4 linked regions of the Tamandua tetradactyla genome follow. The protein of the gene in region 4 purifies or fractionates together with the protein of the main gene of each other region. This does not show direct contact. Links are inferred from orthologs where the notes say so. Each region holds a gene or a part of one and is shown on either strand. Other genes may lie near its edges.

Region 1 (7,821 bases), on a different chromosome or scaffold from region 4:
AAGAGAGCCATGCTGGGGACTTAAGTGAGATTGCTAGTGTTGCTGCCCATGGTGAGGTATTTGCCTTTGAGAATCAGAAGATTTCTCTTTCTCTTTCTGGGAACCCTGTTTCATCACCCATAGAAAAAAAAGGCCTAGGCCTACTCCTGAGAATTTGGGCTTACCCTTAGTGTTGGAATCTGGTCATTATTCCCTTTACCCTTGGAATCAGAACAAATATGTCATCTTCTCTACAAGTTCTCACTTTAGATGCATCCTAGGTCTGGAAATATGGGAAAGAGAGGTAATTATCTCTATGTGTGTGGCCCTGGCCTGTGGGGATACATTCCATTTTCCCTACAATGAATTTGTGCTACTTTCCAAGATCTTTTTTTTTAAATCTTATTAATTGAAATATTGTTTTCTTTTTCTCATTAAAAAAAATTGTATCTGATACAACTTTTCTTTGCCCTCCCACCTCCCCATCCTACCGTTCCATATGAGCACGGCTTCCCATGGCCATATACTCCTGCAAAGCTTTTCTGCTGCTTGGCTTTTCTCTGAACAGATCTGAAATTGCTGCTCCTGTGGTTTTCTGAAAATTAGCTTTGTCACAGTTTAAAAAAAAGAAATTAAAATGCATTGTCGCATTAAGCTTTTTTAACAGGAAAATTACGGAAAGAAAATAGGCAACACCAGCAAATTATATGTGGTCAAGTTCTGAACTATACATACATATATATGTATATCTCAAAAAATAATCATCTAATTCTTACTGTCATCTTATTGAAAGGAAATAAGACCTCTGAGGTATGTCATTTCTGAGAGGCTCTTGGAAATCTGTATGTCTGAGTGATTGTATTAGATCAGCAATAATGACTATGTAATCTCAAAGACAAATAAAATATTCCTAAAATGCATTCTTGTCTTGAGAGTATTCCTTACTTCTGTGATCTAGGAATTCCACAAAGATGGGAGTTGCCTCTGGGCAACACACTAGAGAGACTGTTGTGGGGTGAGGATGTGAAAAGGTGAGGCAGTTACAAATAAGTATGTTTGAATGTACTTAGTCTTGAGACCCTTATTCCATGGGATGGAGTCACTCCACTAATATACCTTATCCCCCTTACCTGGTGTGTGTGTAGAAAACCTGCTTTCTTAGAACCCTTATCATGTGCTGTGAAGTTGAGAAGTGTAGGCTTAAGGCAGGGATGCAAAAGCCTGGCTTTAAGTCCCCCAAGCCCAATGTGTGTTGCCCTTGGCTGAAGAACACAAGAAGTCAGTATCCCCACCGCTTGAGGCCAAAGGACCCTGACACCTAGGATCTGATTACATCCAACCAATAGGAAGAAAAAAGTGAATCAGGTAAAAGTTTATCTCTTTAAATTAGAGACATAGAAATTTGGGTGCTTTGGGTCCTTGTTTCAGGCTTGCTGCGCTAGTTTCTCAAAAGAGCTTGGGCTTTGAATTAGACTAACTTGGATTTGAAGTTGTATGACATGGCCAAATTATGTAACCATTTGGAGTCTCAGTTTTCTTGCCTTCAAAATGGATAGTGCTTATCTGCTAGGGCAAGGATTTAACTATCTGATTTATAAAAATGCTGTTTACAGAGCCTGGCACACATCATATACTGCATAAACATCAATTCCCTGCCTCAGTCTGGGGCCTACAGCATCCATTGCCTCATTATACCCACATGCGCCGTTCATGGGGGGAGGAGAATGTTTTATGCTTTTTCTATTAATCCTAGCTGCCATATATACTCACAAACTAGGTTCTTTAAGACTTCTTACACCCTGTTTTTAAGCTTTCTCAGTGCCAGGTATTGTCGCTTTAATCAAGTATATGACCTCCATGGGTTAAAGTGCTTATATGGAGCACTGGTGCTGTAACTATTTTTATCTCCAACCCTCTGTCAGGCTTAGAATACCTGAGTTTGGGGACAAGGGAAATTGGTAGGGTAGGCCCATCTGCTTTCAAAATAACAGTCCTGGATCCATCTCTAAGATGAAAGAACTTGTAGACTAGCCTCTGAGTAGTTCCCAAGTATGTTTATGAATGACTCTGTGATCAATGGTATTGATGATCGTCACTCCTTTGTTGAAAAATAAGCTAAAAAAAATTGAGTGTGTGCCAATTCCATGGTTTCAAAGTTTTCATTTAATATCTGGTTTCTTATTACTTCTTCCATGGGTTGTTTCTCGATGTCTTCCTCCTTATGACAACTCTGAAAGTCTGGGCCTATAATGAACAGGTAGATGTCTGATCTGTCTCCCATTCCACTGGGGTGTAGAAACGGTAATGGATTAAGGTCTTTCTTCATATCGATTCTTTACAATTTCCATAGAACCAATTTTTCAATTCCCTTTTCCAGGAGTGAAGCCAGATGGAGCTCTAGGTTCAACAATTAGCTTTAAATAGAGGCCAAAGGGGACTTGAGGGCTGTCTTCAATCTTATTCTCAATTGATGATCAGTCTCCTCCCTTTGTCCAAGATAGGCAGGAAAAGGAACAAAGCCTCAAAAGTGGTGACTCCCATCTATTACCTCTGCTGGGAATCCTGCTGGTTGGCTAGGCTCACAAAAGAGAATATGAAGTTCTGGGCCTGTCAATCCTAGAGCTCTGGCTGCTAGAAGGAAAGGTACTGGGAAGACGGAAGTGTAGAATGATTAATTCTTTGTATTAAGAAGCCCCCATTGGCTGTGCTGTGACAGGTTTATGACACTTAAGCAGTAATGAGCTAGGCATGGGTTATAAATTTTAAAGAAGAGCGTGAATTCTTAAGAGTTTAACAAATTATACCCACTAAAAAATTCCAAACTCAAATAGCTTAGGTCTTGAGCCAGGGACTTTCTTAAAAATTCATATTAGTTCAGTTCTGTTAAAAGAGTGGATCTTAACCCAGGAAGATTTTGTCCCTTCCCCAACCCCCTCCAGGGGACATGTGGCAAGGTCTGGAGACATTTTTGATTGTCACAACTCGGTGGTGGGGGGAACGGTGCTACTGGTATCTAGTGAATAGAGGCCAGTATTCTCCGAAACATTCTACAAGGCACAGAACAGTCCCTAACAGCAAAGTATAATCTAGCCCAAAATGTCAATAGTACGAAAGTTGAAAAACCCTCTGATAAACCTGTAAAAATGAGGCATACAAAAATGAGCAAGACTCTCAAGGAGCTTATATCCAGGTGGAGGGCAGAGTGGGAGAAGAAATGAAAACTGTGTGGGTACAGTAAGGAGACATTTGAGAGCAGGGAGAGAAGGGAACCCAGATAGATCCAAGGAGTGCAACACAACCTCCATCCCCCCTCCCCCCACCGACTCTGCCTTGATCTGTCATTTACTGACTAAACCAAGGGAAGAGTCGGGCAGAGACACATTTAAGAAGGGGACAAAGTTGTCCCTAAGATGTGGGAATAGGGGGTAATTCCTTTGGGCCACTTGTTTAGGGGATATTGTGGAAAATGTAAGGGTTTGGGATCATAGTTTCACACGAATGCTTCCAGGAGGGTCAAGAGGAAGGCTTCCTGGAGGAGGAGGTGGTGAGAACTAAATAGAATCTTTAAGGAAGAATTTATCAGTCAAGAGAACAGGAAGTTTCCTTTAGACAGAAAGAACAGCATATGCAGACACTGAGACGAGATAGAACACAACAGCTTGGAAACAGTGAGGGTTATTGAGTCCTGGTTTCCTCATAAATACAGTGGATTAGTGAAATCAACCCATCAGAGAGTATGATAACCTGGTCTCAGGAAAGTGATTACTGCAATGTCAGACCAGTGTCAGCTCAACCACCACCACCACACCACACCCAAATCCCTTCCTAAAGCTATCCTCATGTTGCTTGTTTGGGGACTTCTATTACCAACAACACAGACTGCCCTAGTTATTTACTATAAGCTGGTTTTTACATAAATTCCTGGGAGGGTAGACCACATAGCCTCATTTGCCTCAGGTAACACCGAAACTTTAGGAAGGATCTTAGAAAGGAAAGGACTGGGGAGCAGAGTGGGGGTGACAGCTTGCTCTCCAATATTTACTGCCTAGTTCACACCATGAAGAAGGCGCCCTACAAGAACAGAGAAAGCTGACCAGGGCATCCAACAATTTCGGTGACCTGAAAACGTCACCCCACCCTCCAACCCCTTATCTGCCAGCCAACCCTTCACTCCGGACGGGATGCGTTCGCTTCAGAAATCTCAGCTCCAGAGGGCGAAGTCCGAGTCCCTTGTTCTCTGGGGAGTCCCTCGCCACCCCTGGTGCCCTCCCTCCACTGCGACTGAAAGGGGATTTGGTAAGTGTGGAGGAGGTGTGGAGAGGGCAGAAGTCTGTGAAAATGGGGAAGCAGAGACAGCAGTGGAGCAAGAGGCGAAGACTACGGCTCCCCTCAAAATGTACCTGCTTGAGGCAGAATGAGGGTTGAAGGACACCTAGAGAGAAGCAGAGATAACTAAGGTTAAGACCCAGAACTCGCGAGGGGGTACCGTGAGCCAACCCAGGAGTCTTTGGCTACCAGCAACGCGGCACGACTTAAAAAATAAGATAAAATTTTTAAAAACCTTATATGTACCCCCTACCTGCTCCAAGTCCTGCTCGGAAAGGCCGAAGGGCCAATCGGGCCGCAGGGCGGGGCTGCGAGGAGCAGCCGTAGCCAATAGCTGCGGAGGGGGCGGGGCCGGGCTCCCGGCGCGCGGCTGCTGGGTCGCCCAGGGCAGAGGCAGCGGAGACACCGACTGGGATCCTAACCTCATGGAGGACCCAGCGGCCGCCGGGGCCGGGAGCCAGCCCGCCAATGGCAACGGCAACGGCAACGGCAACGGCAACGGCGGCGGCAAAGGGAAACCGGCGGCGCCTAAGGGCCGGGAAGCATTCAGAAACCAGCGGCGGGAGTCGGAGGTGAGGAGCCAGAACCTTGGCTGGGGCCGGGAGACGCCCGCGGGCTGGAAGCCGAGGCTGAGGTGGTTCCTCAGCGTCCCCTCCCCCGCCCGAGACCACGGCGTGTCCCGGGCCGCTCCTGGAGCCGGTGTCTCCAGAGTCCACTAGAGTTTGCACGCCTAGCGCTGCACCCCAACCCTTCACCGCAGGTCTCCCGCCGCGCACTGGGGGCTTTTTACCCCTCAGGCCTTTCCCGTGGAGGCGCAAAAATGTAGGGCGGTGTGGTGTGGTCCCGATGCTTTTCAAATATTATCTCATTTAATCGTTTCAGCCCCTTGTAGTAGGAGTTCGGGTCCCCATCCTGCAGAGGAGGAAACAGGCGCGGGGAGGTTAAGATACTGGCCTGAGGGTTGGAGGCCAGAGCTCAACCTCAGAAAAGCCTCTGAAATGAAGGGTCGGCGGGGTGGGGCAGCCCTCCCGCCCCAAGGCTACCTGTCGCGTGTCCCTGAGCCGATCCAGATTTGCGGTGTGTGCTCTGGTCTTCCCCTTCCATTTGTGTGTTATTTGGCCCTTTAGGGAGTGCCTTCCACAGCCTTGAGGAACCCTACCTTAGAAAGGACTTTGATAGGAGCAGTGAAAGAAGTGGATGTTTGGATAGAACTGTCCTAATATACAAACATAGCTAGGAGTATGAATGTTTGGGTCTCTTCCTTTTCTCCTAAAAAAGAAATCCTAACCAAGAGGATGAGAGGAGTGCATTCTGTTCAATCCCCCCACACCTCCAGCCTGCCAGTTTCCATCAAATAGCCTAGAATAGAATTGGATCTGAGCATGGATCAGAATAATAAAACCACAAAATGCCAGCTGTGGAAGGGTCTCTAGTCTAGCCCTCTCATTTTACACACATGAAAGAGACAGAAGTAACTTGCCAAAGATCATACGTACACCTGGCGTAGTGGCCAAGAGCACCAGCTTTGGGGTCGTTAGATGAGGATTTGAAGCCATGTTCAGTCCATGGCTTGCCATATGAATTGTATTTTTCAGTTTATAGAGTGATTTCAGGGATGCTTTTCATTGTGATAAAGGCAGAGTAGGAATCTTTCCAATTGTTTTAAAGATACAAGTGGAAGAAGTGAAGAGACTGACCCAAAGTCACACCACCTTTCAGAGGCAGAGCTAGGTTGAACCCTAATCCTTCTGCCTTGCTAGGTCAATGTTCCATCCACCACATCATCTGTCTCCCTGCCTCAGTAAGAACCTGGCCTCTTAGGGCACTCTGTGCCTTCCTCACACCACAGAGATATTTTTCTTATTCAGATGTGTTTTTTGGGTGGATGAGTCATTTATTAATTCAACAACTAGCTATTGTATCCTTTCTGTCAGGCATTGTTTTAAGTGCTAGGTATACATCAGTGAACAGGACTTTGCCCTTGTGGAGCTAATGTTCTAATGGGGAAAGTCAGATAATTTTTGCATGTAAATAAATAATCAAAATAATTTCGGAGTAATATGTGCTAAGAAGGGAATTAAAACAATCCCTGTCCAAAACTCCCTTCTGAAGGAGGAGGTCTGTTCCCCACTCTCAAGTCTTCCTTCAGCAAAATGGTCTCTGCATTCGGAGACTAAGACCTTTCCATCCTTCACCGCAGTTTACCTCCTAACTCTCTGCAACTGCACTTTTCTTTCCTGGAAACTAACAACTGCAGTGATCATCTCTATCTGGGCTCACTGCCTGCCAAAATACTAGCTGGAAAATTAGCTTGCTTCCACCTTCCTCTGCAGCAGGAGATCACTTTTACCCATCAGTACATTCCCTATCCCCCCAGCACCAGGTTCCAGACTCAAATGGCTAGCTCCTTTCCCCACCCTCTCTCCTTTTGCTTTCATGAAGCACAGTCCTCAGGGGAGATAGCTTTCCTTCCTCTCTTGGACTTAGAGAATGACTAGAAGAGAATTACTGTTGGAACAAATCAAGGGAGCATCCTTGAATATCACCTTGTTTATGTGGGCATCGTTGACTTCCCCTCTCTCAATAGCTTAATGTACGAACATCCCAACCTAAAAAGGAAGCTAGAGAATAATTGCTTGCCTAATGAAAAGATTCTTAACATAGCAAAGGGGTTCATCTCTTGCCTCTTTAAGCCAGATTCCCCTGGTCTCTTTATTCCCAATGTTCTTGACAAAATTTTAACTGGTCTGTGGCAAAATGAGGAGAATTCGGAGCAGGGAATCGAGTTTCTCATAAAATGCAGTTCAGTATATCTAATTTAAAGGGTGTATACAGTATATTTCATTTAAAAGCAGTGTTTTTCAAACTGGAGGGCAACCTGTGAGTTGGGACCAGCATTTTCTTTTTTAAGAAACAGAATTAAAAATATCAGAGTACATCACAAATATTAAGGGTAAAGATTATTTTGTTAAACTTTTGGTCCAGTTTTATATGTGTGTGTGTGTATGTGTGTGTGTGTGTGTTGGGACATTTGTAAGTGTGTTTGTACTTTTAATAGCTTTCTTCTGTTCTGAGATTATGTCCTTTCCAATTTTAGCATATTAAACTGTTCTTTCTTTTTTGAAGTGTTTTCTGAAAAAAGATTTGTAAGTCCCTACTTATTCAAACAAAATATCAATAACTCAGTGTCATTCCCACTATCAAACTTTCTGTTTTATAAAATTTCTACTGGAAATTTTTGGAAATCTTTGCTACAGTGGATTTAAACATGATTTGCCTTTTTGGCAGTGTAAATTGGTACAGTGTTTTTGAAAAACAGCTTATCATGTACAAAAAGCCATACAAATATTCATAGGATTAGATGCATTAATTCTTTTTATAAGAATCTATGATTAGAAAAGATCTTACATATGGAAACATTTACTAGTTCAACTTCATGCATATAATAATAAAAAAAATCTAAGTCTAAATATTCAACAATAGGGAACTGGTTAAGTAACCAATAGATGTCCATTA
Region 2 (7,816 bases), on a different chromosome or scaffold from region 4:
CTGGGAGAAAGTTTCAGCTTCTTACATCCCACCCACCCCTTCAGCCCCCTCTCCTGCCACGCCCCCTTCATGCTCTAAGCCTCAGCCACCTTGGACTTTTCTTTCCCCCAAACATGTCTTGTTTCTCGACCTTCGCAGATTCTGTTCCCTCGTATATAAAAGTCTTTTCTCATATGCCCCCTTCTTCCCATCCTCCTCCTGAAAAATTACTGAGGCTTCAAACCTTGGCTCAGAGGTCGCCCCTTGCTTCCCCATCCCAGCCCTGCCCACCCTCGGTTGTCGCTGTCTGGGGATGAATCTGTCTCCCCACTGGACTGTGAACCCCAGGAGGGTAGGGCTGGGAGTGTTTCAGCCACCACTGGGTCCCCAGCATGTGAGATTGCACTTGGTGGGAAAATGCTGGCCAGAGTCCGGGTTCCTTGTCTAAGGCCAAGGCAGCTCTATCCTAGCACCCACTCAGGTCCCAGGAGCCAAACTCTGACTTCATTGCCGTGTGCCGTGTGCCGGATCTGGTCTTCCTGCCTCCTCTCTCTCTCTTACCAGAAATGCCCTCCCACCTCTCTGCCCTTCCCAGTCCTGCTTGCCCTTCCTGGACCCAACTCAGATGGCGCTTGAAAACCCAAGTCACACTTGAAGAGCGATTCTCTAATTTTTATAACCTTGGCACTGCCTTCTGGATCTTAGATTGGTCCCACCTTCTTTCCTTCATCTCTTCAGCATGTATTTATTGAATTCCTACAACATGCCAGACACTGATCTAGGCACCGGGGAGACAGCAGTGGACGCACAAGGACAGCAGACCACATCCCAGCCCTCGTGGGAGTCACACTGTTGGGGAAGGAATCTTTGGAACCAGAGAACCTTCCGGGTCTTAGAATCTTACCATTTAGGTAGTTAGAAGCACAGAATGTCAGACCCTTAGTTTTAGAATCTTCATGTCCTTGAAGGTCACAGCAAGAGACCATCCTCCTGCTTCTGCCATGGTCCCCTACAGTCTGTTCACTGCTCTGTGCCCAGAGGGATCCTGTTAAAATCCGAGTGAGACCCTGTCCCTCCTTTGCTTAAACCTGTGGCTTAAGCCTCACCTGGAGGACAAACCAAGTCCTCCTCATGGCCCACAAGGCCCCGTCTGCTCTGCCCAGTCCCTCTCTGCTTTGCCCCCCACCACGCCTCACCAAACATCATTCTGCAGACATGATCAGATCACTCCTGTGGCAGTGCTGTCCCCTCCCAGGTATCCACATGGCTCCTCCCTCCTCCCAGGTATCCACATGGCTCCCACCTTCCCCCCAGGTATCCATGTGGCCCCCCATGTCCATGTGGCTCCTCCCTCCCCCCAGGTATCCACGTGGCTCCTCCCTCCCCCCAGGTATCCATGTGGCTCCTCCCTTCTCCTCAGGTATCCACGTGGCTCCCCCCTCCCAGGTATCCAACTGGCTCCTCCCTTCTCCTAGGTATCCATGTGGCTCCTCCCTCCCCCCAGGTATCCGCGTGGCTCCTCCCTGCCCCCAGGTATCCACGTGGCTCCTCCCTGCCCCCAGGTATCCACGTGGCTCCTCTCACAGCCTTCAGGTCTCTGCCAAAATGTCACCTGTCCAGGGAGCCTTTCATTTTAGCAGCCCTATTTAAACATTTATTAACCTCTTTCCACAGACTCCCTGTCCCCATCCCTCCTTTAATTTTTCCCCTCTAGTACTTCTCCCATAGACTTTACTTATCTATCTTGTTTACTTGCTGAGTCCCCACTGAAGGTGGAGATCTGTTTTCTCTGTTTTATTTCCTGGGCTCTCCCTAGCACAGAGCTCAGTAACTGGCATACAGTAGGTGCTCAATAAAATGTGGGTGGAATGAATGAAGTTCTTGAATTGTTAAGATGGGGAGACTGTGGCTCAAAGATGGGAAAGGATGCAGGGACCAGAACCCAGGTCTCTGCTGCCCAGGCTCTGTCTAGCTGACTCGGGCAGGAGTCACTGAGCAGGACCAAACCAGGTCCTCAGACTCTAGCTGGTTTGACACCCAGATAAAGAGGTGCTATCTACCAGTGAGGGGGTGAGGGGACCAGAGAGGACAAAGAAAGTCTTCTAGTTCCCTGACGAGGCTCGTCTTGGCCTCCCTAACTATAAGGGCTAAAACCCCTTCAATGGGGCCAGGCAGACATAATGACAATTTTGAAGGTCCAAATGTTTTCCATTTTCCTGAATCAGGGTGATGATAATACCAACAATTCTAGCAACTCACAATGTGCCAGACCCTCTTCTAAGCATTTTACACCTATTGACCCATTTAATCCTCACATTATGATTACATTGGAAGATGAGGAAACCAAGGCACAGAGGAGTGAAGTCACTTGCCTAAGGTCACACAGCTAGGAAGGAGAGGAGCCAGGATTTGACCCAAGGATGCTGGCTCCAGAAACTGTGATTTACACTAATAAACTCCACTGTCTTTCTTGGGTCCATGCAGGTAGCCCTGCCCTCAGTCTACCGTCAGTGTCCCTTTCCCAGCCCTAAGATGAGAGGTGGTTTCAAAACTGAATGTGGCACATTAATGAATTCAACTCATTAACTCTACAAACAGATATCTTTTCAGTGCCCTCTGTGCCAGGCACTGTGTTCTGGGGAAATGGAGTGAAGGAGGGAAGGAGACAGAAAAAAATCACACAATTACATATGGGGGCAGGAAACCTGCAAGAGGCTGTGATAGAGAAAAACTAGGGGGTTGCTTTAGAAAAGGCAGTCAAGGAAGGAAAGGCGAGTTAAGCTGAGACATCTGTCTCTCCACCCCCCACAGAGCAACATGAGTGGATCTAGACTTGCTTTGGGACTGGGTTCACCAGGCCTGAGCTCTGCACTGACCTGAGCCTCAGTTGTTGCTTCTGTAGAATGGGAGTGTGAGGGGTAGAGAAAGAAAGAGGCGCATGGGAAAGCCTTTGGGGACGAGGAAAGGACAGTTTCCATGTAAAGTGCTGGTGACACTGAGGGACTTCTTACCTACTAGGCTGCTGGCTGGGGGGACTCCAGGGGGGCAGTTACTGCCCGATTCAGCTGCACTGCTGTGGGAAGAACCAGAAAATCCCAAATCAGCCAATCTGCAGAACAGTGCACAGCTTCATTTTTACCTACAAGAGGTGACTAGAGCGTCAGGAAATCCTTTCTCTGGAAACCCCATAAGCTCAGGCATAACCTGGCGGGTCTCGGGAAGGGGATAGAGTGGGATGGGTAGGATGTCAGTAACCATAACAACCTGTAATGTGCCTCCACTGCTCCCCACCGCCCCCCATAATGTGTTCAGAAAGGTGGAACTGAAAGGTATGGAAGCTGTTACCATGCCGATGCCTTCCCTAGACACATTCCACCTAGAGAGACAATCCTAAATGTCCCCTACCTTGGTGGGCCTGGTTCCCAGGATCACCGGAAGGGGCTGCCCTTCCCCCATTACCAGAGTAACCAAGACTTGGCCTTGCTTGTTTCTCACCTCCCAGGAGATGGTCCAGGCCCTGTATCCATAGTAACTGTCCTTCAGAGCGTCTTCTCTAAATAAAAACACCTGGCTGGGTTTGGCCACTGGGCCTCCCACGATGGGAAGTGGGGGGAGATGGTTACCATGGTAATGCCAACAGAGTGCACTATGCCGGGGGAGGGGAGCCTGGGGCTGGGGAAAAGAGATGCTTCTCAGTGATCAGTCTATTTGAGGCTGGGGTCCTTTTTACCTGAGTGCTAGGTGAGGAGGGTTGCCATAGTAATCGATGTGGTAGGAGTAGAAGAATCCACCAGGGACTTAGGTTACCTTAGCAACCTCCTCCAGGTGCAGGGCCCGGAGAGGTGTGGGGCTCTATAACCACAAAGGTGAAGGAGGGGCTCTAGGCTGGTAAGGGTTACTATGGCAACCGACCTGGGCCAGGAATCAGAGGATGGGGTCACTGCTGAAACCACCCCGGTAGTCGCCCTTTCTCTCCAAGAGTGAAAGTGATTTTCAAGGGGCGTGGTATTTGGGTCTGGACAGGGTAACAATCTTTCCTTCGGGCGAAGTAGGAAGAGGGGGGCAGCAAGCGGACCCTCCCAAAGTCTTCCCGCTCCGAGGGGCGAGCCGCACACCGGCCTTGGTCTCATTTGCCCTCTGCGGGGCGCGCGCCCCTTCTTTGCCCCGCCCCTTCCCTCCGCCCCCTCCCTGCGCGCGCCTAGGGGTCCACCCGGGTGGGCGAGGCTCGCGCCCGGCCTCTTCTCGCTCCCGGCCCCCCCGCCCCACGCCGGGCGCGCGCGCGGGAGGCGGGGGGGGGGGGGGGCGGTTGGCGCGGCCGCGCAGGCGCGCGAGGCACAGCGGGCGCGCGGGCCGGCCTCGGGGCCTCCATGATGGAGGAGCGAGCGGCCGCCGCGGTCGCCGCCGCCGCCTCCTCCTGCCGTCCCCTCGGCTCCGGTGCGGGTCCCGGCCCGACTGGAACGGCCCCGGCCGCTGCCCCTGCCCCCGGACCGGGCCCGGCAGGTAAGGGAGGCGGCGGCGGCAGCAGCCCTGGACCCACCGCGGGACCCGAGCCCCTGAGCCTGCCCGGGATCCTGCACTTTATCCAGCACGAGTGGGCACGCTTCGAAGCCGAGAAAGCCCGCTGGGAGGCCGAGCGCGCCGAGTTGCAGGTGAGTGCCGCCCCGGGACCCCCGACCCCCGCCCGGCCCGGCCCGGCCCGGCCCGGCCCGGCCTCACCCGCCGCCGCCGCCGCCGCCATCTTGGAGCAATGGCCGCCGGGACAGCCGGGGGGGCGGGAGGGGGCCGCGACCGGCTCGGAGACGGAGTGGGGGGCCGTCCGAGGAGGGTCCTGAGAGGGCCCGGCGGCGGGCTTGGGGGGGCCCGGGGCGTGAGAGCGGCCGGGCCGTACAGAGGAAGGGGGCGGGAGGACTCCAGAACCAGCGGCGTGTAGCAGTGAGCGGTGCACCGGCGGACGGGTCCTGAGGGGAGGGGACCCGGGGCGGGTGGGGAACCTAAGCGAACTCAGGAAAGGATCACGAGGGGAGTTGGAGGGGTCGGAGAAAAACCCGAGGGGTCTTGCATGGCAGTGAGCAGAAGACTGCAACGGACTCCCCCCACCCCCACTCCCGGACCAGCCGAGGGTCTGAGATGGGGCTTGATGGGCCCCGGGTGGGTGGGAGGGGACGTCGGAGCGGCTGAGCGAGTCCCAGCGGGGAACCGGGAGAAGAAGTCCTCGAGCCTGGGGATGGGGTGTGTTTCGGAGCGTTCGGACCGGCGAAACTGGAAGATCGCTGTGGCAGGACTTCTGAGGGATCCCAGGGTGAAGGTGTGTACCTCCTCCTACGGAGGGGAAATTTTGGGGATCCCTGGCATGTATGGCCACAGAGTGTGGGAAAGAGTCCTTGGGATGGAAGTGTGGCCAGGACAGAGGACGCACCCTAAAGAGCCTGTGGGGAAGTGCTTGAGAGCAGAGACTCCAGTTTGGGGGTGCGTGCGTGTGTGTGTGTGTGTGTGTGTGTGTGTGTGTGTGTGTGTGTGTGTTAGGGGGATGGCTGTGAGTTGGGAGGTGTGTGAAGGGTGTCAGGTAGAGGACCCTGAGCTGGAGTCGGGAGGTGGGAGTAGGAGGGGGAGGGGGGGAGGGGTATGCCTAACCGGAGAGAAGGGAATCTGGGATGGTGACAATGAGGAGGAATTTGGAAAGGCAGTAGAGGAGGAAGCATCTTAGAAGGATCCTGGGGGGAGATGCATTTGCGGATGTTTCTGGGAAAGGAACCCATCCATGGTTTGTGGAGTAGCTTGAGAGAAGGTTGTGCCCTAGAGTGATGTAGACAGGAGTCAGAACTTGAGCTGTGTTGCTATGACCTTGGCAAGTGTAGGATCCATTTGCAGAGACTCTCTGGAGGAGTCTAGGGATCAGAAATGAGAGAATTTGAAGGGATTCAGGGATGGGGCATGAGGAGTCTGAGGGTTCCTGGGCTCGAATATTACTGGCAGAAGTTGTCAGTACCAGCTTCTGGTAACCCCTCCTGATTTGATTTTTTCTATCTAGCTGATGTGGGGACCCAAATAAATAACTGAGTAGAATATTGTCTACAGGATATAGAAAGAAAGCCTCCTTTCCCAATTCAGGGTTATGAGATTGCATCCCACAATTCTCCCACCTACACCGGGGATTTTGGTTGTGTGAAAACTGAGGCTTGGGGCTGGAATAGGAGAGGAATAAAGCATTTCTCACTTTTGTGTCCCACGCTCTATTTCCAAAGCTCTTTCTTAGTTTACATCTCATCAGATCATCTCAACACCCCATGAGGTATCTATAACAGCACTTGCTGTTTACTGAACACTTGTTTTATGCCAGGCTGTGTGATAAACACTTTATGGACATGTTAGCGTTTAAATGTAACATTCTGAGAAAAGTGATTTTTGTCCCCCCCCCCTTTTTTTTTTTTAAAATAATCGGAAGAGAAAACCAGTGCTTTCAAAGGGTAAATTATGTATCTAGGATCACAGCCAGAAAGTGGTTTCAAACTCTTGCTCTATACCTCTCTGTCACTCAGTACGATGCGAAAACTGGCCCAGGGAAGCACAGCGACTTCCCCAGGGTTACCTAAGCAGTCACAGCAGAGCCTGGACTGAATCCCAGTCTCTTGGGCTCCATGCTAGAGCACCCCACAGCACCCACCACACCACTTTCTCATCTCGGAGACTAATGGGCAAATAGATGTGTATTTTATTCTCTCACTCAGAGACCCTTCATGGAGTTTGAGAGGAACTTGTGGGTAGCATTCAATTAGACTTTCTGACATCTAGGCTCTAGCATCACTTACTTTGTACTTAGATTTTGTTCTGTTACATAGTAGTAAGTATTCAAATATCTCAGATGTGTTGTGTGTGTGTGTGTGTGTATGTGTATGTGTATGTGTAAAGGGAGAGTCCCCTTTTCATTCTTCATCCCTTCCCTATTCCCTCCGCCTTTCTACCCTGTTATTGCTATGAAGGCAGTTCAGAGGATTTTTGTGTTTAATATATGAAATGAAACTGCATATATCATTTTGTGACTTTTTTCCACATACTTGTTTGTTTTGGTGTTCTTTTCCATATCAGATCAGAGAACTCTTCTTTATTTTTGATTACTACCTCCCATTCATTGATTATCACTGCAATAGTTTACTTGGTCCTTGTTGATGGACTTGTAGGTTGTTTCCAATTTTTCACCATCAGAAACGACTGCAGTGAATATCCTTATACTCCTGGGTGAGTGTAAAGAAGAGATGGAGATAGGGGTGTTTATATACTGCTGGTTGTTTCCCAAGTTGCCCTCCACCAGTTTATGCTCCCACCAGCAGTTCCTCTTTTTTACACACCTCTAGTAAAGCATTGATCACTTACCAAAGGTGTAACTTCTGTGAGAGCCTTTAAGGCCCAGATGGTGTCATGTGTTTCTGACTTACTGTGGATAGCTTCTTGGCATCTGTGAAAAAGGCTGTTCCTAACCCAGGGCCTCCTGTGCACTCAGTACTCGTGCTCAGTAAATGTGGGTTGAATGGCAGAAGAGGCAGTGCTCTGTGAGGGCCTGCCATGAGGCCCCCAAAGTTGGGAGCAGGGAGGTGTTGTAGAAGCAGGCTGGTAATAAGCAAGAATTTGCAAGGGAGTTGGAGTTGGGGGTTCCCACAGATAGGTGATGAGGTTTCTGTCCTTCAGGAACTTCCAGGCCAACTGGGAAGGCTGGTTTACACAGGGTGCTACAGAGAACTGTCCAAATTTATGCACAGTTGAGTTCTTGATTTTGAGTCTCTATGTTCTGTGCATTTCTGAGAAGGGAAGCTCTTTGAGGACAGGAAGAACTTCTTGGAGTGAA
Region 3 (7,843 bases), on a different chromosome or scaffold from region 4:
TCCAGGAATAACTGTTAAATCTTTTTGTCAATCTTGCTAAGGGCCCATCAATCTTATTGATTTTCTCATAGAACCAACTTCTGGTCTTATTGATTTTCTCTATTGTTTTCAATTTCATTTATTTCTGCTCTAATCTTTGTTATTTCTTTCCTTTTGCTTGCTTTGGGGTTAGTTTGCTGTTCTTTCTCCAGTTCTTCCAAGTGGACAGTTAATTCCTGCATTTTTGCCTTTTCTTCTTTTCTGATATAGGCATTTAGGGCAATAAATTTCCCTCTTAGCACTGCCTTTGCTGCGTCCCATAAGTTTTGATATGTTGTGTTTTCATTTTCATTCGCCTCAAGGTATTTGCTAATTTCTCTAGCAATTTCTTCTTTGACCCAGTCGTTGTTTAGGAGTGTGTTGTTGAGCCTCCACGTATTTGTGAATTTTCTGGCACTCCGCCTATTATTGATTTCCAACTTCATTCCTTTATGATCCGAGAAAGTGTTGTGTATGATTTCAATCTTTTTAAATTTGTTAAGACTTGCTTTGTGACCCAGCATATGGTCTATCCTTGAGAATGATCCATGAGCACTTGAGAAAAAGGTGTATCCTGCTGTTGTGGGATGTAATGTCCTATAAATGTCTGTTAAGGCTAGCTCATTTATAGTAATATTCAGATTCTCTATTTCTTTATTGATCCTCTGTCTAGATGTTCTGTTCATTGATGAGAGTGGTGAATTGAAGTCTCCAACTATTATGGTATAAGAGTCTATTTCCCTTTTCAGTGTTTGCAGTGTATTCCTCACGTATTTTGGGGCATTCTGGTTCGGTGCATAAATATTTATGATTGTTATGTCTTCTTGTTTAATTGTTCCTTTTATTAGTATATAGTGTCCTTCTTTGTCTCTTTTAACTGTTTTACATTTGAAGTCTAATTTGTTGGATATTAGTATAGCCACTCCTGCTCTTTTCTGGTTGTTATTTGCATGAAATATCTTTTCCCAACCTTTCACTTTCAACCTATGTTTATCTTTGGGTCTAAGATGTGTTTCCTGTAGACAGCATATAGAAGGATCCTGTTTTTCAATCCATTCTGCCAATCTATGTCTTTTGATTGGGGAATTCAGTCCATTAACATTTAGTGTTATTACTGTTTGGATAATATTTTCCTCTAACATTTTGCCTTTTGTATTATATATATATCATATCTGATTTTCCTTCTTTCTACACTTTACTCCATACCTCTCTCTTCTGTCTTTTCGTATCTGACTCTAGTGCTCCCTTTAGTATTTCTTGCAGAGCTGGTCTCTTGGTCACAAATTCTCTCAGTGACTTTTTGTCTGAGAATGTTTTAATTTCTCCCTCATTTTTGAAGGGCAATTTTGCTGGATATAGGAGTCTTTGTTGACAGTTTTTCTCTTTTAGTAATTTAAATATACCATCCCACTGTCTTCTAGCTTCCATGGTTTCTGCTGAGAAATCTACACATAGTCTTATTGGGTTTCCCTTGTATGTGATGGATTGTTTTTCTCTTGCTGCTTTCAAGATCCTCTCTTTCTCTTTGACCTCTGACATTCTAACTAGTAAGTGTCTTGGAGAACGCCTATTTGGGTCTAATCTCTTTGGGGTGCGCTGCACTTCTTGGATCTGTAATTTTAGGTCTTTCATAAGAGTTGGGAAATTTTCAGTGATAATTTCTTCCATTAGTTTTTCTCCTCCTTTTCCCTTCTCTTCTCCTTCTGGGACACCCACAACACGTATATTTGTGCGGCTCATATTGTCCTTGAGTTCCCTGATACCCTGTTCAAATTTTTCCATTCTTTTCCCGATAGTTTCTGTTTCTTTTTGGAATTCAGATGTTCCATTCTCCAAATCACTAATTCTATCTTCTGTCTCTTTAAATCTATCATTGTAGGTATCCATTGTTTTTTCCATCTTTTCTACTTTATCCCTCACTTCCATAAGTTCTGTGATAACTGTTAAATCTTGATGTTATACTTTCCAAATGTTTTCTAGTTACAAACACACACACACATACACGAAGTAGCCTGAGATTAGACTATACATATTGTTTTGTGTATTTTCTTTATATATAATGAAAATATTTTCCATATTACTAAATATTGTCAAACATTTTTAATGAATATATAATATCCCACTGTATGAAATACTATCATTTAACAATCTGTTAGACTTTCAAGCTAGTCCTACTTTTCTTGCTATTATAAATATCATTGATTCTTTTTTTGCACAGGCAGGCACCGGGAATCGAACCTGGGTCTCTGGCAAGGCAGCGAGAACTCTGCCTGCTGAGCCACTGCGGCCCACCCTGAACTGAGTATTTTTTTTTTTTATTAATAAAAAAAAATTAACTAACACAACATTTAGAAATCATTCCATTCTACATATGCAATCAGTAATTCTTAATATCATCACATAGATGTATGATCATCATTTCTTAGTACATTTGCATCGATTTAGAAAAAGAAATAGCAAGACAACAGAAAAAAATAAAATGATAATATAGAGAAAAAAATAAAAATACAAAATACAAAAAATATATATATATATAAAAACTATAGCTCAGATGCAGCTTCATTCAGTGTTTTAACATAATTACATTACAATTAGGTAGTATTGTGCTGTCCATTTTTGAGCTTTGGTATCCGGTCCTGTTGCACAGTCTGTATCCCTTCAGCTCCAATTACGCATTATCTTACCCTATTTCTAACTCCTGATGGTACTCTGAACTGAGTTTTTAATATACATTCGTGCGCACTTCTTAGTTATCTCCTTAGGAGATGTTCCTGTTGGTAAGATTCCTAGATTGAAGAGTATGAACAAATTTAAGATTCACGTTCTTACCCATTTTGCCATTCATCTCTTTCTATACCTGTTTTTCCAGTATAGTAAATTTACACAAGATTGTAGTCTCCTGGGTATTAGGGTTCTAGCTTTGCTTAACCTTGTATTTCCCACATTGTCTTCAGAGTACTTAAGGAAGCAGGGCTGGAGGTACAACGAAGCATACTAGTGACCACGGTGAAGGTATCTGAACGTGTATCAAAGAATCCGGAAGAAAAGTATGTATATTTCCAAAAGGTAGGCGGGGATGAAGTTTTAGCGTCCCACGCCCTGTCTGATCCAGAGAACGCGAGAAAACTGAAGTCCTTGGAGTACAGTGACACCTCAGAGACTCAACACTCCTTACCACAGGAGAGGACTTGCGTATTTAGGGTCTATTCCAACAGCCTGTGAACTCTTGGGAGCTCATTAGCATGCCCAACCTCGCACAGTGAAGTCTCAAAACGGGGGCACTCACGGCTGTCAGGGAAGTGCAGGGTCCCTGAGACCTGCGGTGCAGTAATTCTGAATGACGCGCAGATCCTTTCAGTGGCTGCCACTCTAAGCATTGCAAATGAAATGCTTTTTGGAGGCAGCACTGACTCATTCCATCCTTATTTTTCCAATGTAATTGGGGTGGAGGCGGCTAAAAGGTGGAGGCAGAACTGGCGCTCAGTAGGCCTGAGACTTTCACAGGCAGTCGAAAGACAGGAGCTAGCGGTGTGTGTGTGTGTGTGTGTGTGTGTGTGTGTGTGTGTGTGCGCGTGTGTGTAAATGTCTAGACACGGTTTCCTTCCAGGGATTGTCTTCTCTTCCTCCTTGCCCCTCCCCATCCTATTTTTCCCTTCTCGTAGGCAGACGCTCCCGCCTTGGTCCAGAGCCCAGGGAATGTGGGGTTCAACCTCCTCACTTCTTCGCTAAATTCACAGCGCCTAGAATCCCAAAACGAGCTGTTTTCAGTAGTGAAATCACCAGGAATTACCGGCTCTCTTGGCCTCTCCCTTCTCGGTTTCCTCCTTGGGTTGTTGAAGTTTCACCCAGACACCGAAGAAGCTCCGCCCTCGAATTTTTTAATAGGTCACAGGCTGAGGCCCCTCGGGTCACTCTCCCAATCTAAGTTTCCCCTGACCCAAACCCTGCCCTCGGGGAGGTCGGCGGAGACCCATTTCCCCGGGGCCAGATGAAGAGGAGGAGGGCTTCGAGGGCCGGACGAAGATGGTGGAGTAAGAGTTGTTGCAAACCACTCCCTCGCGGCACAGGCTCTCCTTTGCGCGGGATCGGGTCTCCGGCCGGTGGCGGTGGGCACGTGGCCAATCCCCGGTTCCGAACTCCGTCGCCTCCTCCCCACGCCCAGCGCCCGCCCCAAGTGAGGCTCCCTCGGCTCCCAGCACCCGCCTTCCCTTCCTCTTCCCCTCCCTGCCGACTAGGAAGGGGTAGTGGCGGGGGAAGAGCCCTCGGAAAGGTTCGGGCCGCCGGCCCACCTCCAGCCAATCGGCTGGGCCCGGGCAGCACCCGACCCCGGTAGGCGGCGACTCTCGCGGCTGCGGACTAAGGCGCCCGGGCGGCCGCCGAGCCTCCTCCCCCTCCCGGAAACGCGGGGCGGGGTCCCAGGCCGGGCCTCGGGGGCGGGCGCGGGGGCCGGGCCGGGGCGGGCCGCGCAGCTGCAGCCGGGCGGGGCGCACTCGGGGCTGGCGGGCTCGGCGGGTTGTGCTCCCGGACTCCCGCTCCCAGGCCGCCAGCGCAAGCGGGCCGAGGCCGCCCCGGCTCCAGCCAAGCAGCAGCTGCAACTCGCGGCGACGCTCCGCGCCCCACGCGCCTCCGCGCAGCCCCTCCCCGGCACCGTGCATGGAGACGCTGCCCGCCGCCCGCCGCTGAGCCCCGCCGCTCGGACCGGGATCTGCCGGGGCAGAGGGTGGGCTCGGGATCCGGCCGGCCCCGACGAAGCTGGACTCGGGCTTCCCCGGTAGCCTCCGTCGCTCGAGGTCTGCGTGCGGGCAGCGGGCCTGGTCGCCCGCACCGACCGCTTCGGCCCTGCCGTCCCGTCCCAGGAAGTGACCGTCCTGACCGCCATGGCTCACTCCCCAGTGCAGTCGGGCCTGCCCGGTATGCAGGTAGGTACGAGCCCCGGGCAGCGGGAGGGGCGGGATGCGGGGGCTCGGGCGGAAGCGGGCAACTTGGCGGTGTAAACACAGCCCCCCCCCCCCCCCCCACGCTCACCCTTCCGGGGTCGCGCGCCGGAGCCTCCCTCGCTGTGTTCCCCGCTGCTCCGCGCGCGCGGCCCGGGGCTGGGGAAAGAGCCCTCGGAGCGCACACGCGCCCCGGCCCGCTCGGGCGGCTGGGACTGGGCGCCAGGCGGGGTCCTCCCCTCCCATCCCGGGCGCCCTTGCCCCTCGCCGCAGCCTGCCTCTTGGCGTGGGGGGAAGGGCCGTAGGGACCGCGGCCTGGGTCTGGCCGGGGGTCCACGGTGGAGGCGGCCTTCGCCGGCCGGAGTCGCGGTTGTTAGGGAAGAATGTGGCGGAACCGGCCTTGGGTCGCCTTCCCGGTTTCCCTCTCCCCCCATCACCTTCCTGAGCTCCGGGCAGGCGTCGGCCGCATCCCCAGGGAGAGCCGATGCCAAGAAATGCCCTGGGAGGCCCCAGCTTAGTCCCTGGGCCCTGTATGCGGGCCTGGGGCGGAAGGGCCCCTCAAGGCTCCCGACCCCCGCCCGCCCGCCTCCCCCTCTCTTCTGGGTCTTCTGCCTTCTCTGGAGGGCGGGAGGTAAACTTAAGAACTGGGAGGCGAGCCGAGAGCGCGCGCGGACTGGTCCTGGCCCGCGGCGGCCCAGCCCGGGTGGAAGGAGCGAGGGCGGGTGTCGAGGAAGGTGTAACTGCTAGTTCCACCTCTAGTAGATTTGTTCCGAGCGTTTTGTTCTGAGGGAAGAGTGCGAGCTGGTAAACCTCCAGGAAGAAGAAACGGTACAGCGTGCACTCGGGCGACCCAATCCAGGCTTTTCCTACCTGATGCCGGGATACCGGACTTTTCCTTTAAGGCTTTACTGGGCTTAGAGTAGTTGTTTCCCAAGAAGTGTCTCCGTGGGTACTTTGTGGCATCATGGCCTACCACTGACTTTTATTGGGGGGATTGAGTTTCAAATCTGTACTAATTCATTAAAGTTTTTCACTGTTAGCCTTTTGGAAAAAAGAAAACCACTCTCCTTCGCTAACTTGTAATTTTTGTAAATGCACAAATGGTGGTAGCAAAACTATTAGGATTAAAATCAGTTAGGATATGTCTAAAGTTTTGCTCTCTCAAGCAAGTGAACATAAGAGCTTTAAGAATAACCAGAAGTATCCAAGTGGATTATTATCATGTAGATATCAGTGGAGTAATTTTCTCTTCTCTTCTCCTTGCGGGTTGAAAAGCCCAGTGTAGACAGACCTCTTCTATTATGAGCCAGGCATCTTCCCCCCCTCCCCAAAGAGACTTTTTTTTTAAAACATTAAACAAAACAAAACAAAAAAGACTGGGTTTCATCGTTGAGGTTTCAATTCTAGAAAAATAGGAACTCAAAGTTACTACTTTAGTGGCGGCTGTAATTTTAGACCGACTTTTTTTTTTTTTTAAAAGGAGTAACAGTTAATGTTTTGTTTTAAGCCTGTGACTAGGAAGATGCTTGAAGAAAGTCTGTCCTTGAATCTCATTTAAAGTTCTTTTATTGTATTTAAAACGTAATGCTGTGCTTATTTTTGCTTTGTAAAAATCAGATGGGATTTTTTTTTTAATTTTAGCAGTTTTATTTAAGTAGAATTTACATGCAATAAAAGTCACCCATTATAAGTGTATTGTTCAATAAGTTTTCGCAAATATATATGTATATATATATTTAGTCATATAACTACTACCATGAGATTCAGGGATTTTTGAAGCAGGACTCAGGCAAGGGGAGCTGCTGGAAACTGGTTTGGCCTTGACTAAGAAGGACCTTTTTTTCCTCTGGGAATGGGGTAAGGATGATATAAATGTATATAAATACTCATTGAGGGTGGGGTGGAGTAGGATATGGCATTGAAAGCATTCCTAATGTTATCAGATGGGATTTTGAACATAAAGCTCTGCTTGGTTTTTATTTGGAGACAGAATGAAGTTGGTGAGAAAAAAGTTTCTTACCAGTAAAACAAGAAGGACCTCCTGTAATGCTTTAAAAAATACATTTTATGAATATTTCCTCTAGACTGACTTTTATATTGTGTTAATCAGTTTGTAATCTAGCACAAATGCCTCACTTAGAATTCACCTTTGTGGAAAGTGAGTCGGTGTGAAAAGGTATTTAAAGCTCCAGTGACCTGCACTAAGAAGTCTGTATCAGATGGTCACTCTTTGGTATCTGGTCTCAGTGGTTTGTTTGTCTGTTTTGCCCTCTTTTTTTTTTTTTTTAAGGGAGTGGGCCAAAATTTGAAAATCTTGGGAAAAGACAGTAGATTTCCTTTAATCACCTTGCCTCCAAAATAAAGTGTATTTCCTAGGTGGTATTACAAGGGAACTTTTTTACTTTGCTTTCTCAGTGAAAGAGCTTATAAATTTTTCTTAGCAAGAAAGCTGACCAGGTTTTCAGCAGTTACAGTTTTAGAAAATGGCTTTATGTCACAGTCATTTCTGTACTTAAATACCTCTATAAATCTTAGTATAACTGTTTTTGAGTGTGCCATTTGGGATAGAAAATTTCCTCTATTCACACTTATCCCCCAAAAGATAAAGAACAGGCGCGTTTGTTTGCAATTTTGAATTAGGAGCTGCTACAGCTCAGGGAGCCTTCCCTAAGAGTTGTTGAGGGTTAAATTAAAGGCACACACCTCGTTGTGTTGTACAGGATAAAACAGGAAGAGAGAGGTGCATGACCTGTTTGTGCCCTGCCATGTCTCCTATCATTCCCTTTTTATCTCTGTCTTCTCTTGACCAGGGCTAATAAAAGGATGCTGGCTTAAAGTTTTTAGAAAGACAGAATTGTGAATGGAGGTGGCCCAGGCAAAGATGCTTAAAT
Region 4 (8,092 bases):
TGAGACCTACTACAGTGTTGAATGTATGTTTCTGTACTGCAGAAACACATCAAATCAGACAGGATCAAGGCAGAAGTGACAAGTCTTTTGGGTTCTTAAAACTCAATGCCTATGCATTTAGGTGGGCCCCTGTTATGAAGTGAACCATTTACAGCCTTAATCCAGGTTGTATTGAAGACTCAGGAACCTTTGGGGTCAGCTTGGTACTTCACTTTGCCTCTTAAATCAATCTGTACACTATACCACACTGGGATTCATAATCTACTTAGCTCCATGTTTCTGCTGACAACTCCATAATTAAATATCAAATGTTACATTTACAAGTAATATCTCTAATTTATGTTTCCTAATCAATTTGGTGGTATCTCTTTCCATGCTTTTTACAGCCCCAGGAAAGGAGGAAGAGAATATCTGGGAAGTATCCAGGACTGAAAGGAAGTGGAAAGAAAGTGTTTGTCCTTTTTGTCTGTGTGGATTGGGAGAAAAGGCAAATGAAAAATCTTCTCACAATTGAAAGATTGTGAGAAGACACAAGCGCATATAGGTCTGACCCCCTTCTCTGACTTAAAGTCCTAGATTGAAGTCCAAAGTAGAATTGTGTTTTGTCACGCTTCCCATTTGGGGCTGTAGGAAGTACAGATGTATTATTTTTTATTTTTTTCTAGTAAAATTTGTATTATTGTATTATATATTATTTATCATTTCTTTTTTCTTGTAAAATTTGAACTCCTCAGTGCTGCTTTCTCTTATAATGCTGAATAATGAAATTCCAGATTTCTAGACTTCTAAATGCAGGTCTTCTTTATTAAAAAATACTTGTTTTGGTGGTGTGAAGCTGTATGTACCCCAGAAAAACATGTGCTTTGATCTAATCTATTCCTATGGAGGCAAACGCATTGTAAGTAGGACCTTTTGATGTGATTACTTCAGTTAAGGTGTAACCCAGCCCAATCAGGATAGGTCATGACCCTATTACTAGAGTCCTTTATATGCAGAATGAAATTCAGACAGAAATAGAAATCTACAGGGCAGTAGAAGAACTGAAGTTCAGTGGAACTCGGAAGAACTGTTAAATAATTAGACCATACTGAGTTTATCAGACTCAACCAAAAGCTGGGTTTTTCCCCATAGCTCCTAGTAGGATGGGAATGGGGGCTTGCCAGAAAATACAGATTACTTATAGAAAACAAATAAGCTAGAATGTCTTTGCATATCTTGTTTAGTAAAAGTAAATCTGCACATGTCTACTTACATATCAAAATTTGGTAGCATACTCATGAAAAATTTGGGGCACACCAGATAAGTACCAACAGATTGAATGAAGAAATGTTTAAAAAATAAACAAATAACCAATTCATTAAAAGACAGGCACAGCTACTGCACTTATTCTACCATTGTTAATCGGAGTTTGGGGTTGGACTGAACTGCTCCTTCCACTCTTTCCAAGAAGTAGCTTCAAGGTCCTGCAACTAGCCCAGTAGGAGGTAATTTTGGTTTCATAAGTAGGACCACCCATTGTGCTACAGATGGAATACCCAAAATGCCTGCTATTGGATTCTCTCCTATTAATTTGAATGAGACTAAATTATTTGTTTAAGAAATCCATCATAGGTTTTGTTTGTTTTTAACCTCTATGCATGTAGGAGAAGAGAGTAGAACCTCTTTTGGTTTCACTTTTTAAATGGCCAAAGGGCAAGAAAGAGATAATAGAGAGAAATGGAACCAAAAAATAGGGGCCATGTGGGATATCAGATCATAGTAGAAATAAGCCAGAAAAATCAAAGATCTTGGGTAATTTGTGTGGTTTCCACAAACAATATTAAAAGTATCTGGGCTTGTAAACCTCAATCAATAAACAAGCAGGGGTGAACCTACTATAGTTAATATAAAGAGTTTGAAGTTTGCAACAGAAGTTGCAATTACTATTCTTCAAATTGATGATCTTATTAAATTATACCTAGAAAGTAAAGATGATAAACATAGAAGTTAAGAAAATGTTGTTCATTCAGGAGCCCTTGATGACTGATGTGATTTCTTTTATTCATAACAATGTTAGGTGTAATTGTCTTATATACACATTAAAATACAACAAGCAGTCAAAAAAATAAAGTACCCAAGCTTAACTTATTGGTTTATTGGTGGGTGGGCTGTGGAAGACTGAAAATGGCTCAAAGGTTAAAACTTTCAACTTCATGCTGCCACATCTTGAAGCTTATTCATATTTGTACCTATTCTTTTCCCCTCCAATTATGGAGAATGAAATGTCCCTCATTCTGTTCAAATCCAGCTGCTTCACCTGTATTCCTGATCTGGAATCCCATTGTTTTATTCAATATTCAGCAAGTGTTTAACTACCCTGTCCCATCTCCTCCTGGTCCTTGCTCCTTCCATTGTCTCCCTACTCTCTTGTATCACTTTCCCTAATGGCTCCTTCCCCTACAAAGCCTAAAAACATGCTCAAGACTTTCTCGTAAAAACAAAAACAGGAATAAAAATGCACCCTATTGCTGCATTCTTTTTTACCCACTAATTGAATCATGGTTCAGACTACCAATCACAAGGGTCCAGTTTGGTGAGGGAAGGAAAATTAGACCATTAGAAGAGGCTGATAGGTAGGATGATGGTTAATTTCATGTGTCAACTTGGCTAAGTTATGGTGTCCAGTTGTTTGGTCAAGTAAACACTGGCCTGATTGTTACTTTAAGGGATTTTGAAGATGGATTTAGATTATTGGTTAGTTGATTGCGTCAATAGCTGATTACATCCACAATCAACAAAGGAGATTCTCTTCAGTAATGAGATAAGTCTCTTCATCCAATAAGTTGGAGGCCTTAAAGTAAGAACTGAGGATTTCAGAAGTCAGAAAGAAGAATTTCTATCTCTGCTTCAGCTACCCCGTTTCTCCTGGGGAATTCAACTTCATAGTCACCAAGTTTCCAACTTGCAGCCTGCCCTTCAGAATTCAGACTTCTCAATTTCCATGGTCACATGAGCAGTTCCTCAATTTTCTTAATATTTTATATCTATATATCCTGTCAGGTGTATTTCTCTGTAGAACTCTGATTAATGCAGGTAGAGTGAATATGGATAGATTCAGAAACTGAAGAGCTGGATGAAGTAAATGAAATGGTAGTGGGAGATAAGGTTGCAAGAACTGGACAGACAGAAAAGCTATAGTCAAAGAGTTAATCATTAAACCCTAAAATTTCTACACAGGACAATTCTTGGAAAATGATCCAGAATGTGGCCACATTAAGCCAAAATAAACATCTCTACAAATCAGAAGATCAAGAAAAGACACAGCATTAGATGAGTTGTCCACATGGACATGGATGTCACTCACATGAGAGCAAAATATGGCATAATTAAAAAGACCATAAGCCAACTCCTAAAATCTTCTAGGAATAAAGAAGAATACCCAAGATAGAAGGTCAGTAATTAACAACAGAGAGGAGCGACAGAAGATTCTTCATCTGTGGGATATAAACATCAAATAAAGAGATTTTACACAACATGAGAGAATAAGTGCTTAGAAGTATCATTCAGGAAGTAAAACTACCAGTCTAGTTGTCAACCCTAAAGTGGATAGGACATAGAATAATTATCCTCCACTGTAAGAAGTAGCAGAGGTTGTGGTGTCGGTTAGGGAGAGCTATCAGAGTAGATGACCTGAGGTTGGGAAAAGACCAGATGGAAGACCATCCTTAGACCTGGGTGAGAAAAGATGATGGCCTGAACCACCCAGGAGTAATGAGAATGCAAAGAAGCAAATATGTCCTAAAGATACAAAGGAGATACACTGCCTTTGAAACAGATTAAATATGAAGAGTAAGTAAGTGGGAAGAATGAAGGATAACGTCCAGGATTCTGTTTTTGGGGAAATGATGCATGAATGTGCTCTACTGAAATGATGGCCAAGCAAATTTGGAGGCAAAGATAATCAGATCACTTCTAGTACATGCTGAATTTGTGATGCCTGTAGGTTGTCCCTGTGGAATAATCCAGTTCATGAAAGAGATTTGTGCTACAGAGATGGATTTGAGAACCATTTGAAGTCAAAGCCAAACGCATGAAAAGAGATCAGTTAGGGAACGTCTTTTTGTTTTAATGAATGAACGAAATCTCTGCATTTTGTTGTTTTAATGAATGAATGAAATCTCTGCAGAGTGCATTAATTGTCTTCCTGTTGGTCAGTGACCCTGATTTGTTATTTCTGTTGAGCTTGTTCCCCATGTTCCCTTCAACAAACAATGTGGCAGCTGCTGTGAACACAAAGACCAAAAGCCCAGTTCCTTTCCCCCTGCTTCTCTGACCTCTAGCACTCTGACACTCCTTCATCAGACTCCTTCATCATCCTGTCACTGCCTTAAAATATTCATTAGAGTATAAATTCTTTCTCTCATTAGAAAATAATCTCCCTAAGGGCAGAGACCTTGTGTCTTATTCCCTGCTGCATTTCCAGGACAAAACAGTGTCTGGACCAGAAAAGGCTCTCCAAAAATAGTTATTAATGAATGAAAAAGAACAAAGACATACAAGCTTGACAAGGAAAACTCTTATTAACCAATGTAACAATACAAAAGTCATTGTTGTTTTGGCTAAATTTACTTTCAACTTATTAACTGAATTGAAACAGAATATACATATATATGGAGAAAAACCGGAGCCGCTCAGCCACAATTCAATCAGGCCACCGAGCTGAGAGAACAGGAAATCAAGGGCGTGGCTCCGCTCAGGGCGGAGTTTCCGAGAAGCCGCAGGCTGAAACCGGTCCGGGCGCGGACAACGCCAGTGCGCAGACGCCTGCGAAACGTGCCCGGAAGTGACGCCTCAAGGCAGAAAGTGCTTCCGGCAACAACTGAGCGAATCGCGTTGGTGAGCAGGGCCTGATACGCGGGTCGTGCAGCCGCTATGAGCTGCACGATCGAGAAGATCCTGACAGATGCCAAAACGCTGCTGGAGAGGCTGCGGGAGCACGATGCGGCCGCCGAATCGCTGGTGGATCAGTCGGCGGCGCTGCACCGGCGGGTGGCAGCTATGCGGGAGGCTGGGACAGCGCTTCCGGACCAGGTCAGGCAGAGGATGGGAGTCATGTCCTCGGGTTCTGGACACTTGAGGGTGGAGGGCTAGGAAAAGTGGGAACCCGGCGTGGAATTTGTTCCCCTTCTCAGGAGGGTGGGAGAAAGACTTCTCTGGAGTCGGGGCTGAGAATACTCTCCCGGTCCTCTGACGCCTGCCTCTTCCTTCAGTCGCATCTGCCCCTGTTTTCGGCGCACTTAGTCTGTCTGTCTCTGTCCAGTGTCAAGAGGATGCATCCGATATGAAGGACGTGTCCAAATACAAACCACACGTTCTGCTGTCCCAAGAGAACACACAGATTAGAGACTTGCAACAGGAAAACAGAGGTTAGTCGGACCTTTTTGTGTAGTTATGACTTTTTCATATCCAGCAACGGTTCAAAAGTTTTTGCAGAACTGTCTTAACTGTTCACAAAAGTGCATATCCTATATGTATTTCCAGGTCGATACCTTTAATAGAAGAGTTACCCCGTGTGCAGGCCCAGTAACAATAAAGTTTGTTAGATTAAATTTTTCGAGGTCATCTGACTGATTTTGTATGTACACACAGCTCAGCAAAGAGATGCCTAATAGAATTGAAATATTGCATGATTTTTTTAGACACCCCGGACGGAGGCTTGCCTGACGAAAGAGTTACCATCAAGGACTTAAAATTTAAGATTTAAATATCAATTGAATATACATTAATATTAAAATTGAAATTTTTTATCTTGTGCAAAGTGGAAGAAAAAATTTTATCTTCACTTATGTATTTTTGGACTTAATGAGTACATTATTAACGATAGTAATATTAATAGTGTGTCTATCAGTTTACAGAGTGCTTTAACCTATATCATATTGTGTTCTTATGTCTTCATTTTGAGGTTGGCAAGCCAGGTGTTTATTATTAGAAGATTGCACATAATAAATAGGCTCAGATCTTAAATGGTTTGCCTGAGATTATTAAACTAATTAGTCATGGAACTGAACTCAAACCTATGTCTTTTGATTCCACATCCTGTATTTCTTCTATTAAATGATGCTGTCTGCCTAGGAAGTTATTTTTCACATAGACCTTAGCTGTTCAGTTTTGTGGACTTAATCATTGATTTACAGCTTTGGATTCACATTATTTTACAGATTGTCATAAAATTATGGAAAATTCCACCTGTTAACAGATTGGCTTTGGGAACTATCACTGGGTCTTCACTGCCAAATTATTTTACTTTTTGATAGAGCTATGGGTTTCCTTGGAGGAACACCAAGATGCCTTGGAACTCATCATGAGCAAGTACCGGAAACAGATGTTACAGTTAATGGTTGCTAAGAAAGCAGTGGATGCTGAACCAGTCCTCAAAGCTCACCAGTCCCACTCTGCAGTAAGAAACTTTGATGAGTAAATTCTAAATGAACTGAACTGAAATCTAGAAATTGTTTTAAATTTGGGGCTTGTTTTAGAAGAAAATGTAGTCTTGTTTTCCACTAATGTTCATCACATCCACTGTTTATTTTGCTATGGCCTTGAAAAGATGAATGAAAAGAAGGGGATAAAGGGGCAAGGCAACTTAGATCCTTTATTTGAGTGGGGTGAAGGTTCCCCTACCCCAAGATCTCCTATCAAGGTGTTAATGAATGCTTAGCTCTTCCACCACAGTGCCATTTAGCATTGAGGGTGCTCAGTAAACACTTGGTTGAATATCTCTCCAAACTGTAAGCTCCTTGATTGTAAGGAATATGAATTATGAATTCATCTTTTACCTCTAGCATAATACCTTGCACACAACAGGCAGTCATAAACCTTTTTTAAACTGAACTACATAGCATCATACAAGGTTGTTACAAGGCAGTAGTGTTGTCTTAAAAAAATATATGTAACATAGTTTCTAGACTTAGAATACTTATGATTTAATTAGAGAGACTCAGTAATTGTTCTTATATTTGTAGAGTGTTTTATAATTATCATAGTATATTCACATATACTAGATTATTTAATCTTGGCTTAATAGATTGGAGCTCCACTGTTTGTTACAGTGCAATTTAGTAAAAGTTAAGTTTCATCTTAGATTCCACTGAAAACATTTTACTGACTTTTAAAAGTCTCAGGAAATGGGAATAGCCTATTTAAATATATGAATGTCTTCCATATGGAAAAGGAAAATAAATTGTCTCTGATCTGGAGGAGAAAACTAGGACCAATTCATTGAGACTTGAATGAGACAGAGTTTAGCTGATATAGAAAAGCTATCTAAGAAAGATGTCCAAAGATGGAAAATGGCACCCTGGAATGTGGTAAGTTTCCCATCAATAAGTGTTCAAATTTAGATTAAACAGCTTTTTCTAACATCCAAAGGGTGGTGAGACTAGAATTGATCTTTTGAAAACAAAAATTGTTTTTGAACATCGTAAGGCTACTTCATTATGGCTTTATCTCCAAGGACTCAGATTATAGTGAAATAGCAATATAACTCCTATAGCATAGATTAAATGAACTTTTAAAAATCATAATGCACCCTTGCCCATCATGATCTTCATATCTATAGAAAAGGTTATTTTTTCACCTATTTTTTTTCTTAATATCTTCACAGGAAATTGAGAGTCAGATTGACAGAATCTGTGAAATGGGAGAAGTGATGAGGAAAGCTGTTCAGGTAGATGATGACCAGTTTTGTAAGATTCAGGAAAAACTAGCCCAATTAGAGGTAAGATTGTTGCTCCTTTAGCTTCACAATATTTCAGGGAGTTTTCATGGAGTCTGGAAGGTATGTCAGCACTATCATGTCACTGCAATGTATTGCTGTTTTTTGTGTACTCAGGATTTAAAATTAAAACTTCTCTTAAGAAAGGAAATCAGTCAGCAGCATATAATGAAAATACCAATAACAATTAGCCAGAAGTTGAGGTGTCCTATTGGGAGGGTAGAGAGAGGAGTTGGAGACAGGTACATGTGAGCTGAAATCCCTCATCTGCCATAATAAGTCAGTAGATAATATCTAAAATTGATGATCAAGAACTAGCAGGACAGACGTATTATTTAG

What was found.
Region 1: the proteins of SIKE1 (region 4) and STRIP2 purify together in Homo sapiens (affinity purification with mass spectrometry; 3 studies listed by BioGRID and IntAct, with this or other methods). This does not show direct contact. The link is inferred for Tamandua tetradactyla from reciprocal best matches to the Homo sapiens genes SIKE1 and STRIP2.
Region 2: the proteins of SIKE1 (region 4) and STRN4 purify together in Homo sapiens (affinity purification with mass spectrometry; 3 studies listed by BioGRID and IntAct, with this or other methods). This does not show direct contact. The link is inferred for Tamandua tetradactyla from reciprocal best matches to the Homo sapiens genes SIKE1 and STRN4.
Region 3: the proteins of SIKE1 (region 4) and STK24 purify together in Homo sapiens (affinity purification with mass spectrometry; 4 studies listed by BioGRID and IntAct, with this or other methods). This does not show direct contact. The link is inferred for Tamandua tetradactyla from reciprocal best matches to the Homo sapiens genes SIKE1 and STK24.

What each region holds. Positions count from the first base shown.
Region 1 is NC_135327.1:170,910,374-170,918,194, forward strand, and holds the start of STRIP2 (striatin-interacting protein 2), read left to right. Parts: upstream 1-4,683; 5' UTR 4,684-4,730; coding exon 4,731-4,877; intron 4,878-7,821. UniProt on the Homo sapiens protein: Plays a role in the regulation of cell morphology and cytoskeletal organization. Required in the control of cell shape. Calmodulin-binding scaffolding protein which is the center of the striatin-interacting phosphatase and kinase (STRIPAK) complexes.
Region 2 is NC_135342.1:14,478,173-14,485,988, forward strand, and holds the start of STRN4 (striatin-4), read left to right. Parts: upstream 1-4,329; 5' UTR 4,330-4,346; coding exon 4,347-4,628; intron 4,629-4,695; exon of another isoform or gene 4,696-4,723; intron 4,724-6,426; exon of another isoform or gene 6,427-7,816. Other genes in the region: ribitol 5-phosphate transferase FKRP, read right to left, coding at 884-1,024, 2,991-3,052, 3,475-3,506. UniProt on the Homo sapiens protein: Calmodulin-binding scaffolding protein which is the center of the striatin-interacting phosphatase and kinase (STRIPAK) complexes.
Region 3 is NC_135330.1:167,460,283-167,468,125, reverse strand, and holds the start of STK24 (serine/threonine-protein kinase 24), read left to right. Parts: upstream 1-4,507; 5' UTR 4,508-4,895; coding exon 4,896-4,937; intron 4,938-7,843. UniProt on the Homo sapiens protein: Serine/threonine-protein kinase that acts on both serine and threonine residues and promotes apoptosis in response to stress stimuli and caspase activation.
Region 4 is NC_135337.1:6,543,703-6,551,794, forward strand, and holds the start of SIKE1 (suppressor of IKBKE 1), read left to right. Parts: upstream 1-4,823; 5' UTR 4,824-4,911; coding exon 4,912-5,070; intron 5,071-5,299; coding exon 5,300-5,405; intron 5,406-6,293; coding exon 6,294-6,436; intron 6,437-7,642; coding exon 7,643-7,756; intron 7,757-8,092.